3 linked regions of the Macaca fascicularis genome follow. The protein of the gene in region 1 purifies or fractionates together with the protein of each later gene. This does not show direct contact. Links are inferred from orthologs where the notes say so. Each region holds a gene or a part of one and is shown on either strand. Other genes may lie near its edges.

Region 1 (4,078 bases):
GCGCCTGCCACCACGCCTGGCTAATTTTCGTATTTTTAGTAGAGACGGGGTTTCACCATGTTGGCCAGGCTGGAACTTTGGCCTATTTATTTTATTTATTTATTATTTATTTATTTTTGAGACAGAGTCTTGCTCTGTTGCCCAGGTTGGAGTGCAGTGGCCAGCTCTCGGCTCACTGCAACTTCTGCCTCCCGGGTTCAAATATTCTCTTGCCTCACGGAGTAGCTGGGATTATAGGCGCCCGCCACCACGCCCGGCTACTTTTTGTATTTTTTAGTAGAGACGGGGTTTCACCATCTTGGCCAGGCTGGTCTTGAACTCTTGACCTCGTGATCCATCAGCCTAGGCCTCTCAAAGTGCTGGGATTACAGGCGTGAGCCACCGCGCCTGGCCCCTTTGCTTATTTTTCTAAGAAACAGACTAACACCGATCTCACTAGTAGCATTGTTAAGATTAAACAAGATAGCTAATAGCTTTAAAGGGTCTAATCACAGTACCCCTACATGTAGTAGTCACTCAGCAAATCATAGCCAGGAGTGGACGAAAAGCGCTGGGAGCATTAAACCAGCCAGATTTGGAGTCTGGGTAGGGCCTAAGACGATGGCATCAGCGGATTGGGCCAGCCAAAGGGGGCGGGTTCAGAGGGAGGAGCCAGCCGCCTTCCGCTGCAGCCCCGAGCTTTGAATCAAGCGCGGTAGTTTCAGCTGTAGCCAATCCTAGAACAAAATCTTCTTGCGTCAGTTGTTGCTGAGGCCCAGATCTCACCCAGATCAGTTCTAGTCGCTGCTGCTAGTACCCGTCCTCGGCTCTTGCGTGTCCGTCCGTTACGACTCAGAGGACGGAGAGAAAGTCTAAGTCACCTTCCTCAGTATCCAGGCCGGAAGGAGACTCTCGGCTACTCGCCCTAAACATGGAGAGCAGCACTGGCTTCCCTGTCTCTGGATGCCGCAGGGGCGTCCTGTCAGGAGTTGTAGTGGCAAGATTCCAGTTCTTATGCGACTTGGTGGAGAAGCAGGAAGTTGCTGTTTATCGGACAAGGCGGGCTAGGGAGGGAAACAACGCCGCGGAGCCATATGGAGAGGGCAGGAGGTGTCCTTAGATAATGGTAGGCCTGCGGCGGACGGTGGGGCGGTGTTGAGTCCTGGCCCTTTAAACCCGAGGGGGAGGACCCGGAAGTGGATGGGCGGGGCGAAGGGCCTTAGTATATAAGAGGGCCCCAGCCGCGCGGGGTCTCTAATCTGCCATTTTCTGTCCCTGAGTGAGTTTCTGGCGTCCCAAATTGCCTGTTTTTCTCACAGGCTCTATTCCGTTCGCTGGTTCGCCACCTCAGGGGAACGATGGCCACTGAGTCCACAGCTACTGCCGCCGTCGCCGCGGAGCTGGTTTCTGCCAACAAGTAAGCGGGACTGGAAAGCTTGAGGCACTGGCCAGTCCGCGGGGAGGGCAAATGGACGGGGGCTCCGGAGAAGGGACAGACCGGTGGGCGGGCGTACTTGCCTTCCCGGGAGCAGCTGTCGCTGTTCGGGAAGGCCCGGTCACTGGAGCAGTCCTCCTCTGGCTTGAGAGCCTCGCGCACCAGCGGTAACGGCGGTCGGCTGGCGCCCCCTGCCCCGCTTTTTGCGGCCGCCATCTTGCCGGGGGCAGCGGCGGCTGTATCCATCGCCTGCCCCTCTTCTTCCTCCCCCGGCCCGGGGCGGTTGGCCGGGAGGCGGGGCCCTGGCGCACGAGTTGGCCTTCACTCCCCTTCTGTCCCCAGCGTGTGCCTCGGGTAGAGTCCCTGGATAACCCAGGAATATAACCAACGGAGATTTGGCGCCAAAAGAAAAAAAAAAACCCCTGCACGAGGAAGGAGGCTGGACCTGAGGGGTCGGGGTGGGCGGGGCCTTGCTGAGGGCGGGGTTTTGCGCGCGAGCGTTCGCTTCCCTTGCCGGCTCTGGAGCAGGGGGCGGGGCCTTGAGGAGGCGGGAAAACTCTATTGTTTGGGGCCGCTGCGGCTCCAGCGGGAGCATTTGGACTATTCTGTGGGACCGGTGAGGCTAGTTCCGCCCCTCACGCCTCGCTCACGTCTTGTGCTGGGAGATAGTTATCGCTCCCCTCGACTCCATGAGCCCCTGCCTGTGGTGGGGAGGATTGTAGTTCTTTAGACTTCGGAGGTGTTGCCTTGTTCGGGGGAACATTATCCGGACGCAAAGCGTCTTCAGGAAGCGCCGTCTGGAGCTCTCACCAGCACTGTTTGGTTGCTAGGTGAATCGGCAGTAGTGTGCACGAAGTGGAGAAGGGCTGGAGGGAAACAAGATAGGATTGCTTTGAAAGCAGCACAATGCCACTCAGGCGTAATCTATTTTTTGAACAGTGGAGGGAAACACTACATGACTTCAAGGAAACAAGTGCTGTTTCCCATACAGTAGGTCTGATTTCCCAATCTTGCCTTATTTTTTTAGTGATCTGGTTCTGTTTTTTTTCTTTTTCTAATCTTGTGCGCTTTAGAGGTTAGCTGCCTTCCCTGTGAACGGAATGGTTGCTGTGAAGTTTTTTAAATTGATATTCTATAGGCTTACACTCTGTCATGATTATGTCTTAGTTTGCTTATAGTTAGAGATTTACTTACATCTTTGCTTACCACCTTTTGTTTTCTCTGCATTCTTGTAGAGCAGTGGTTCTCAAGTCACCCTGACAATCATCTGGGAACTCATGGGAAATATAATTTTAATTTCAAACTCCCATTACCTGCCTCTTTCCCCATTGATTCGATATGAGCAGTATAGATTGGGCTTGAGAGTCGTACTATAGCTGTTATAAAAAGAGCTCCTTTTTATAATGTTTCCTGGATAGCTCTGGCAGTCAGTATTTCACTGACAGGTGTGTGTTTTTGTTTTGTTTTTGCAGACAGGGTCTGGCTCTCACATCCAGGCTAGAGTGCAGTGTTGTGGTCATAGCTCACTGCAACCTCGAACTCCTGGGCTGAAGTGATCCTCCCTAGTAGCTTGGGACTACAGTCGCCACGCCTGGCTAAGTTTTTGTCTTGATGTTGCCCAGGCTGGTCTCAGACTCTTGGGCTCAAGCAATCCTCCCGCCTTGGTCTCCCAAGGTGTTGGGGTTACAGGTGTGAGCCACTGCGCAGGACCAGGTGTGTGTATGTGTTTTTTTATTTTTATTTTTATTTTTTTGAGATAAAAGTATGCAACAAATCTCTCTTGCAGGTCCCCTGTGTCTTGCCAGAGTTAGGTCATTAGTGAACTTAGTCTCAGCTTCCTGGCAGGTTATACGTACAGAAAGTTTATATGTGGCTACAAGAAAGCAAACCATTTAAGTAGTTCCTCACACCATAAATTGAAAGCTAAAACTGAGCAATTATATGTGGGGGGGGGGGTGTGTGTGTGTGTGTGTGTGTGTGTGTGTGTGTGTGTGTGTGTGTGTGTTAGGGGGCAGGGTCTCTGTCACCCAGGCTGGAGTGCAGTGATGCCATCATCGCCCACTGCACCCTCTACCTCCTGGGCTCAAGTGATTTTCCCCCTCCTGAGTAGCTGGGATTACAGGCGCACACCACAAGACCCAGCTGATTCTAGTATTTATTTTATAGAGACGGGTTTCACCATGTTGCCCAAGCTGGTCTCCCAACTCCTAGGCTTAAGGGATCCACCCACCTGGGCCTCTGAAAGTGCTGAGGTTACCGGCGTGAGCCACCAACCCTGGCTGGTATTTTCATTTCATTCCCTCGTTTCCCCATCTAATTAGTGTGAGAGAACAATGAAAGCATGTGCCTCAGTTAAGTAAGTTAGTGGGGACATTTAGAAGTAAAGTTTATAAGGTCCTCATGTTTAAGGGTAGGTTAAAGAAAATGACTTGAATTTAGACTTTAGGTAAGAATGTACATTATACTTCGAGGATAAACATTGAAAGAATAAATATAACTTCCGAACCAGTAGAAAGGAAAAAAAATGGAAGGAGAAATAAACCTCAGTTCAGGTTTTTTAAATTTAGGAAATGGGGATCTTACTGTGTTGCCCAGGCTGGATTCCCAACTCCTAGTCTCAAGCAATCCTTCCACCTCAGCCTTCTGGGTAGCTGGGACTACAGG
Region 2 (3,319 bases), on another chromosome or scaffold:
GAATGTGCTCTGCGGGGCCGAACTGCTCCTGATTGAGAAGCACTTAAGAGAGGGTCAGGGGAGGGGAGAAGTCAGGTCACCCTGACACGGAAGGGCTAGCTGGGCTCAACTGCAAGCCGATCTGCTGCTTAGACTTGAACAGCCTACGCCCTCTCCAGCCGCTGTCTGCACCCATGTTCCCAGATCAACCATGGTTCCAGGGAGGGAGAGTCAGAGCCTTTCTGTGAATTACGCGAAAATGGCTGACCACTCGGCCTCTGGATGGTTACATGGTTAAGGTTTAGTAAAATTTAATAAAAGCATTGCTGTTTGTGTGTTGGGATCACGATGTTAATTTCTTCCTGTGGGTCAAGGGCAGTCTGAAAAATCACTGATTATAATCTATCTGCAGGACAGCTGGTTTGCTTAAATTTTGACAAAAACCTCTTCTGGAACCTCAGTCTGGAATACTGTAGAACCAATTAAGACTGGAGTAGGAAGCTGGGAAGAAGACATGGGACAGCCCACCCACTGGACAGGTCATGAGACCACTTCTGGGGGAGAGTGGACAAAGTTGCTTCAGTCCACACAAGACAAAAGCACAAACAATCATTCTAAACCAAGTGCTTTTAATTTTCAGACCAACCAAACATTTTTAATATAAAAACATTTTAATAATATACAAACAGCAATCACAACAGCATCCACATGGCAGCAAGGGGACCAGGGCACAGAGAGGGAGAGCAGGCTGGGGAGGGATGGTTTTCAGGGTCCCAGTTGCTTCCCTGGCTTGAAATCACCCTGGTCCTAGCAGAGAGAAGATTAAGGCTGCCAGAAGCAGAGGGTCCCTGACCCCGACCCAGAGACAGACTGCGCAGGCAGGCCCTCTGACACCATCTTCCAACTAGAAAAAGCCAGATCCATTTAGGAGATAACAGGAAGGTGGCTATGATTGACAGGAAAGGCAACATGGTTCCTCAGCATCCTGCTGATCACACCTCTGGGAGCAGAGTTTTCCAGGGGCTGCTGGATTGAAGAGGACCTAAGAATCTTCCTGGGAGCAGGACAGAAATGGGATCTAAGTCTACCTACTAACCAAGATTCCTGCCTGTGACACCAGAAAGCTGGAGTGGATCTGCTCAGTGAACGGGAAGAGAAAGGAATGACAGAACCTTTGGCTCAGCAGGACCAGAGCCTTGACGGGCACTGACCAAGAAAGCCTCTAGGCAGGCCAGGGAGGTCTGTCGGAAAGCTTTGGGTCAGTGGTACTCAGGGGTGCACAGTGGCACAATGGCCTTAGGTAGAATTTATGAAGACGAAAAGAACACAAGTCAGAAAGAATTTAGAACTGAAGTACCTGCTTCTTATAGGCCTGTACAAGAAAAGCGAGATCATCCTTCTGGCCAGGACTAGAGGAGTCCCGAGGCCTGTTCTTTCCTAGGGGCTGAGTTTGACAGACCTGGATGCAGCTGATGGCCCCCAAAGTCCTCTAGATGGGCCCTGCAGGACTTGCTGGGAGGCCTGGTTGCCCCTCCTGGTGTGCTGGGACACTGGGTTCCTGCAGTTAGATGCAGTCCATGGAGTTCTCAGGGAGGAGGCCAGGGATGCAGCCAGGGAGGCCCAGGCCCTTGATAGGAGTGCAGTTGAGTGGGAGGCTGCAGCCCAGGGAGGGGTCCTGGGTCTCTATGGCCTCCAGCCTGTCTGTGTTGTTGTCCCAGTTGATGTGGAAGCGGGTCACCCGGGGGTTCGAGGCCAAGATGTTCCGCTGGAGCTGGGGCAGAAAGAGGAACGTCAACCCTTGTTGACATGCCCTCTCCTTGCTCCCATAGAGCCAGGACACCCCCAATCACCCATCTGAAGCCCAGCAAGAGCAACCCACATATGGAACTCCAGAAAACACCTGTGCACCATGATTTAGGGCTAGGACCTATCTTTTTGTTTTTTTGAGACGGAGTTTCGCTTTTTTTGCCCAGGCTGGAGTGCAATGGTGTGATCTCGTCTCACTGCAACCTCCACCTTCCGGGTTCAAGCGATTCTCCTGCCTCAGCTTCCTATGTAGCTGGAACTACAGGTGCATGGCACCATGCCTGGCTCATTTTCTTATTTTTAGTAGAGACGGGCTTTCATGTTGGCCAGGCTGGTCTCGAACTCCTGACTTCAGGTGATCCGACAGCCTCGGTCTCCTAAAGTGCTGGGATTACAAAGTGTGAGCCACTGCACCTGGCCCAGGACCTATCTTTTTTTTTTAAGGGACAGTCTCTGTTAGCCAGGCCAGAATGCAATGGCATGATCTGAGCTCACTGCAGCTTCAAACTCCTGGGCTCAAGTGATCCTCCCACCTCAGCATCCAGAGTAGAGTACTCCACCCATGTCTCACTCATTTTCTGAGGTGGGGAGGGGGTAGGGACAGGGTCTCGTTATGTTGCCCAGGCAGGCCTATCTAATCTTAATTCTCTAAGACATGCCTTTGAGAAACAAAGGCCTTTTTCTCCTATTCTAACTCAGTACTGTAAGAACTGAACATTACTTGAAAACCTTAAGAAGTAACCTTGACTCCCAATTTGAATGGCTGAACTCCCCCCCAAGTATAAAGAATGGCCTTGTGGGAAGCAGGAAGTGGAAACAGGACCCACCTGGGAGAAATCTGGCTTCATGGGTGGGTTCTCACGCAGCTCGGGGTTGAGGTACTCGTTGTTGACATAGTAGCCCACTCGGATGAACTCCTGTCCGTGGTAGGTACAGGTGATGAGGACTACGGTCACACCCACGGCATCAGTCTCTGGGATGAGGGATGGGTTGGGGGCATCAGCCTAGGGGAGACACATCCTAGGCCTTAGCAGTGCCACAGCCATGCCTCTATGTCATTAGTAGAAACAAATTCCCAAGCAACATGTATTTACTGAGCAAAAAGTATGCTCTCTGCCCTCAGTTTTCTTTTTTTCAACCTCTGCCTCTCGGGTTCAAGCAATTCTGCCTCAGTGTCCCAGGTAGCTGGGACTACAGACGCACACCACCACACCCGGCTGACTTTTTTTTTTACATGGAGTTTTGCTCTGTTGCCCAGGCTGAAGTGCAATGGTGGGATCTCAGCTCACTGCAACCTCCACCTCACAGGTTCAAGCGATTCTGCTGCCTCAGCCTCCTGAGAAGTTGAGATTACAGGCGCCTACCACCACGCCTGGCTAATTTTTGTAGTTTCAGTAGAGTTGGGGTTTCGCCATATTGGTCAGGCTGGTCTTGAACTCCTGACCTCAAGTGATCCACCCATCTTGGACTCCCAAAGTGTTGGGATTACAGGCATGAGCCACCGCCCCCAGCCTTTTTTTTTTTTTTTTTTTTT
Region 3 (3,648 bases), on another chromosome or scaffold:
AGTTTAGAATATTCTGACCCTACATGTAAATTAAAGCGCAGGCTGCCTCTAAATAATGCAACTGTTTGCCAAATAAAGTGAACAAATAAGTTATACCATACTTTCAACATATTTATGCCTGACCAAGATTTCCCCATATATATTCCGCTCATTATCTTCAATTTGTTCCATTAAGCACTTCACAGTTAGGGATGTAATCCAATCCCCACAAAGCCTTATGATTTAAAACATAAACTTAAGCCATCTTTAGATGGCTTAAGCACCCTAGGAAAATGTTGTTGTTTAAAATAGTTATTTCTGACAAAAATACAATCAATCAGTAAGGAGACATTTTTTAGAAAGGCTCTTTCAGTAACAAATCAAATTTTACATACCTGTAATATCAAGAACTGTAGGAAATTCAGTGTAGTATCTATGAACTGTTTCAAGAAGCTGAGCACCATGGCCTTGACCTTGAAATGGAGTCAAAATCAGCATCTGACTACAGTAAAGAAATTATTTTAAAATTAAAATATCATAACATGACCAGTTTAAAACTTGCAAATCACTATAGTATTACAAACACTTTAAAGTTTGTGTGATCTTTTTTCAATCCACCTTTGAGATACCCAAAAATTATCAGGATACTCAAAATTAGTTTAATCTTCTACACTGTTTCAAAGGGAACAATGAAATAAATCAGTACATAGTCCATGAATAATAGTGATTTTTTTTTAAACAAATCAACACTATTATAACAAGTATTGGAAACTTCAGCAGTTCCTTCTGCTGAAATAAAAGACAAGGCACGTGTTATACTGCCAATTACCTTACACGTGGCCGGGTTTTGTCTGGGTACACATAGTAATTATAGACTGTCATGTAGCCTACGGTCGCAAAGAGCGTAGCTCCATCCTTATTATACTTCTCAAATCTGCAGATAAAACAGAAAGCCAAGCAGGTCAATTACAGTCGCGCTCCCATGCAGTGTCCATTTTCTTTTCCATTCTCTGACTGAATTTTCAGTGTCAGCAAGCTACTCTGTGAGGGCCCAATGGGTACACCTGCTATGTTCTGAATGTACAATTCACTTAATTGCTGTGCAGCAACTTGGATAAATCAGACCTCTTTACATCACTTCAGTGCACTTGCCTATTATAAAGATGAATAGGTGGCAAGTAAAAGAAAACACAGGCAAAGCTCATTTTACTGTTTAAGCCTACATTCAGGGCCCTAACGGACAACAGCATTTAATTCAGCTCTATTCTCAAGGTCTCCCAAAGCATAATGAAGGAAAACTCAAGCCTCATAAACAATAGTTTTTCTTTCCTGGGAAAAATATCATTATACTGTCCCAATAATTGGGCTGCCACAATTAAAATGCTGGCTTTGTGGAGGTAATAAGGTCTACTGTTGCTTTAGAACTGTACTTACACTAGAAAGTAGTGCCATCTTTCATCATCCACGTCAATAAAGCTAGCAGTTTCAATAAACCACATCAAAAAGGTCTGAAGCCTTTCATGATACTCTCGAAAGCCTCTACATGTCATGTCGGCCTAGGGAAAAAGCCAGGAAAAGTCAGGTGAAACTCATCACAAAGGTAAGTGAAAGTCTGCAGAACACAAAATTATCCTGTGGGAAAATGTTTAGAAGTCTCAGATTAAGATGTGGACACAGACACAGACATACACACAAAATAGATCTTTGTTTATAATGCTGATTAAAACTTGTTTACTGCAGTTAGAATAAATCACTGACAACAAAACTACATACAGGTTTCAGGCAAAAAGAACTTTACTCAATAAATATTTAGATTTATCTTTACCTTATATATCTGAAAGGTAAAGTTTTCTCCTCCTGTTGGACTGAGAACTGAGTAGGTATGAAGTAAGGTTCCGAATGGCTTGAAATCAACTTCTTTTTCCAGTAAAGAAAGGAAATCATTTGTGTTTGTGCAAAATCCAGGTGGAATGATTTGTCTAATTTTGCCCTCAACATCATCTGCCTAAAAAATAAAGGATATAAAAAATCAATAACAAATTCAACTTTAAGTTGAATATGGTTACTTTCTTTAAAACTGACAAAACCAACACAAATTATAAAATTTTGGTTGAAAACTAAAGAAGTAAACACACAGTGAACTGGAAAAGGATGAGCTTCCTGTGCACAAACTACATCACACAAAACTGAGATAAGCATAACATAAAAGTAAATAAGAGAAGGCAGGTAATCTGATACCAAGTACAATAATAAGGGCAATGCTATGGACGTTTCTGTTATGTAGAAAATGCTGACTATACCCCTTCATGACAGTCTGAACTGGCCAAGGCAAAAGGCTGCTTATTATTTTATATGTGTCAAAGAAATCATATTATCCAAGACATGAAAAGATCACCAGAGGTAGTGAGATGAGGCTAGAGTCAGACCAAATGAATAGCAATCTCACAACTAGATGGGTCACAATTCCCTCATATGCCAAACTCAAACTAAGATGATAATTTTAAAATATACCTATTTAGGAAATAACATAAATTATATGAATGGATATATCATTCTTTCATCCTTAGAATGTGACACAATTCTTAGAGACCTGGATTTGTGACAGTAAAAAAGAGACAAGACTGGACAACAAAACTAAACTTGGAGATTAAAATTACCCTTGTTAAACAACCTCTATCAATGTTATCAGCTGAGCAGACTTCATAATCCTTTTCAAAATCCCAAAAGACCACTTGATTGAATACATTTACTACTTCTCTTTAACCATGAATATTTGATGAAGTCTTACAATAAAGTATTGCTGCTTCTCACCAGGCAATAAAACTTAATGAATTGGTCTCAACTTAACAAAACCTTATCCCTCAATACAGTCCCTAAAAGCCTGACATTACATTCAACAAAATGAGCTTGTATTCTATTCAAACTTTTTCCTGAACAATGAGGCCAGGTTTTTACTTAATGGAGTTTGCCGTGAGTTCAGCTGTAATGTTTGTATTGTATCTATTTCCACAAGGACTGACACAAGAACACTTTGTGTTAACTTACTAAGCAGCTCTTTCATACCGTTTACATGCATGATGGGTATTAGTTCTAAACCAAGACCCTTGCTACTTAGCATTCAAAACAGGGAAATTAAGATGCTTAGGACAAAATACACTACAAAAGGCTAATACAACATGCTACTAATTCCTGTCCTTTCAACCATCTTTTAACTAAGTAGAGGCAATGCACCTGCAGATGAATAGCACTTTATTATGATTCAGTTACATTTTAGGATAGAGAACCAGGGATGACGTTTATCACAAACAAGTTTTATTTTCAATGCTCTGGTACCACCAACATTTATATATAATTTGTTTATAGCTATAAAAAAAGACCTATTATTGAAAATATAGCTCTTCAGCATTTTGCCCAACAGTTTATTTCTAATATGTACATCAGTCCTTACAACTCATTCACACTCGAGATCAAATAAACTGCATTTCATAGGACCGTTTTTGTTTATTTTTAAAGTACTATTTGATAAATATTTTTCCTTGCAATTGCTAACGTGAAGAGGCCATCTTAAGCATATTTTATAGAATCAGTACAATTTCAACCACTATCAAGGAAACTGTCATAATGAGGGATAGCTGTAATAGGTATGCTGTGTAGCAATTAAAATCCAAA

Evidence for each region.
Region 2: the proteins of NASP (region 1) and ASF1B purify together in Homo sapiens (affinity purification with mass spectrometry; 5 studies listed by BioGRID and IntAct, counting the BioPlex papers as one, with this or other methods). This does not show direct contact. The link is inferred for Macaca fascicularis from reciprocal best matches to the Homo sapiens genes NASP and ASF1B.
Region 3: the proteins of NASP (region 1) and HAT1 purify together in Homo sapiens (affinity purification with mass spectrometry; 3 studies listed by BioGRID and IntAct, with this or other methods). This does not show direct contact. The link is inferred for Macaca fascicularis from reciprocal best matches to the Homo sapiens genes NASP and HAT1.

What each region holds. Positions count from the first base shown.
Region 1 is NC_088375.1:189,135,950-189,140,027, reverse strand, and holds the start of NASP (nuclear autoantigenic sperm protein), read left to right. Parts: upstream 1-1,235; 5' UTR 1,236-1,337; coding exon of another isoform or gene 1,338-1,396; intron 1,397-4,078. UniProt on the Homo sapiens protein: Component of the histone chaperone network. Binds and stabilizes histone H3-H4 not bound to chromatin to maintain a soluble reservoir and modulate degradation by chaperone-mediated autophagy.
Region 2 is NC_088393.1:14,539,927-14,543,245, forward strand, and holds the end of ASF1B (histone chaperone ASF1B), read right to left. Parts: intron 2,790-3,319; coding exon 2,613-2,789; intron 1,751-2,612; coding exon 1,544-1,750; 3' UTR 592-1,543; downstream 1-591. UniProt on the Homo sapiens protein: Histone chaperone that facilitates histone deposition and histone exchange and removal during nucleosome assembly and disassembly. Cooperates with chromatin assembly factor 1 (CAF-1) to promote replication-dependent chromatin assembly.
Region 3 is NC_088386.1:67,507,515-67,511,162, reverse strand, and holds part of HAT1 (histone acetyltransferase type B catalytic subunit), read right to left. Parts: intron 1,985-3,648; coding exon 1,805-1,984; intron 1,536-1,804; coding exon 1,414-1,535; intron 914-1,413; coding exon 809-913; intron 482-808; coding exon 375-481; intron 1-374. UniProt on the Homo sapiens protein: Histone acetyltransferase that plays a role in different biological processes including cell cycle progression, glucose metabolism, histone production or DNA damage repair. Coordinates histone production and acetylation via H4 promoter binding.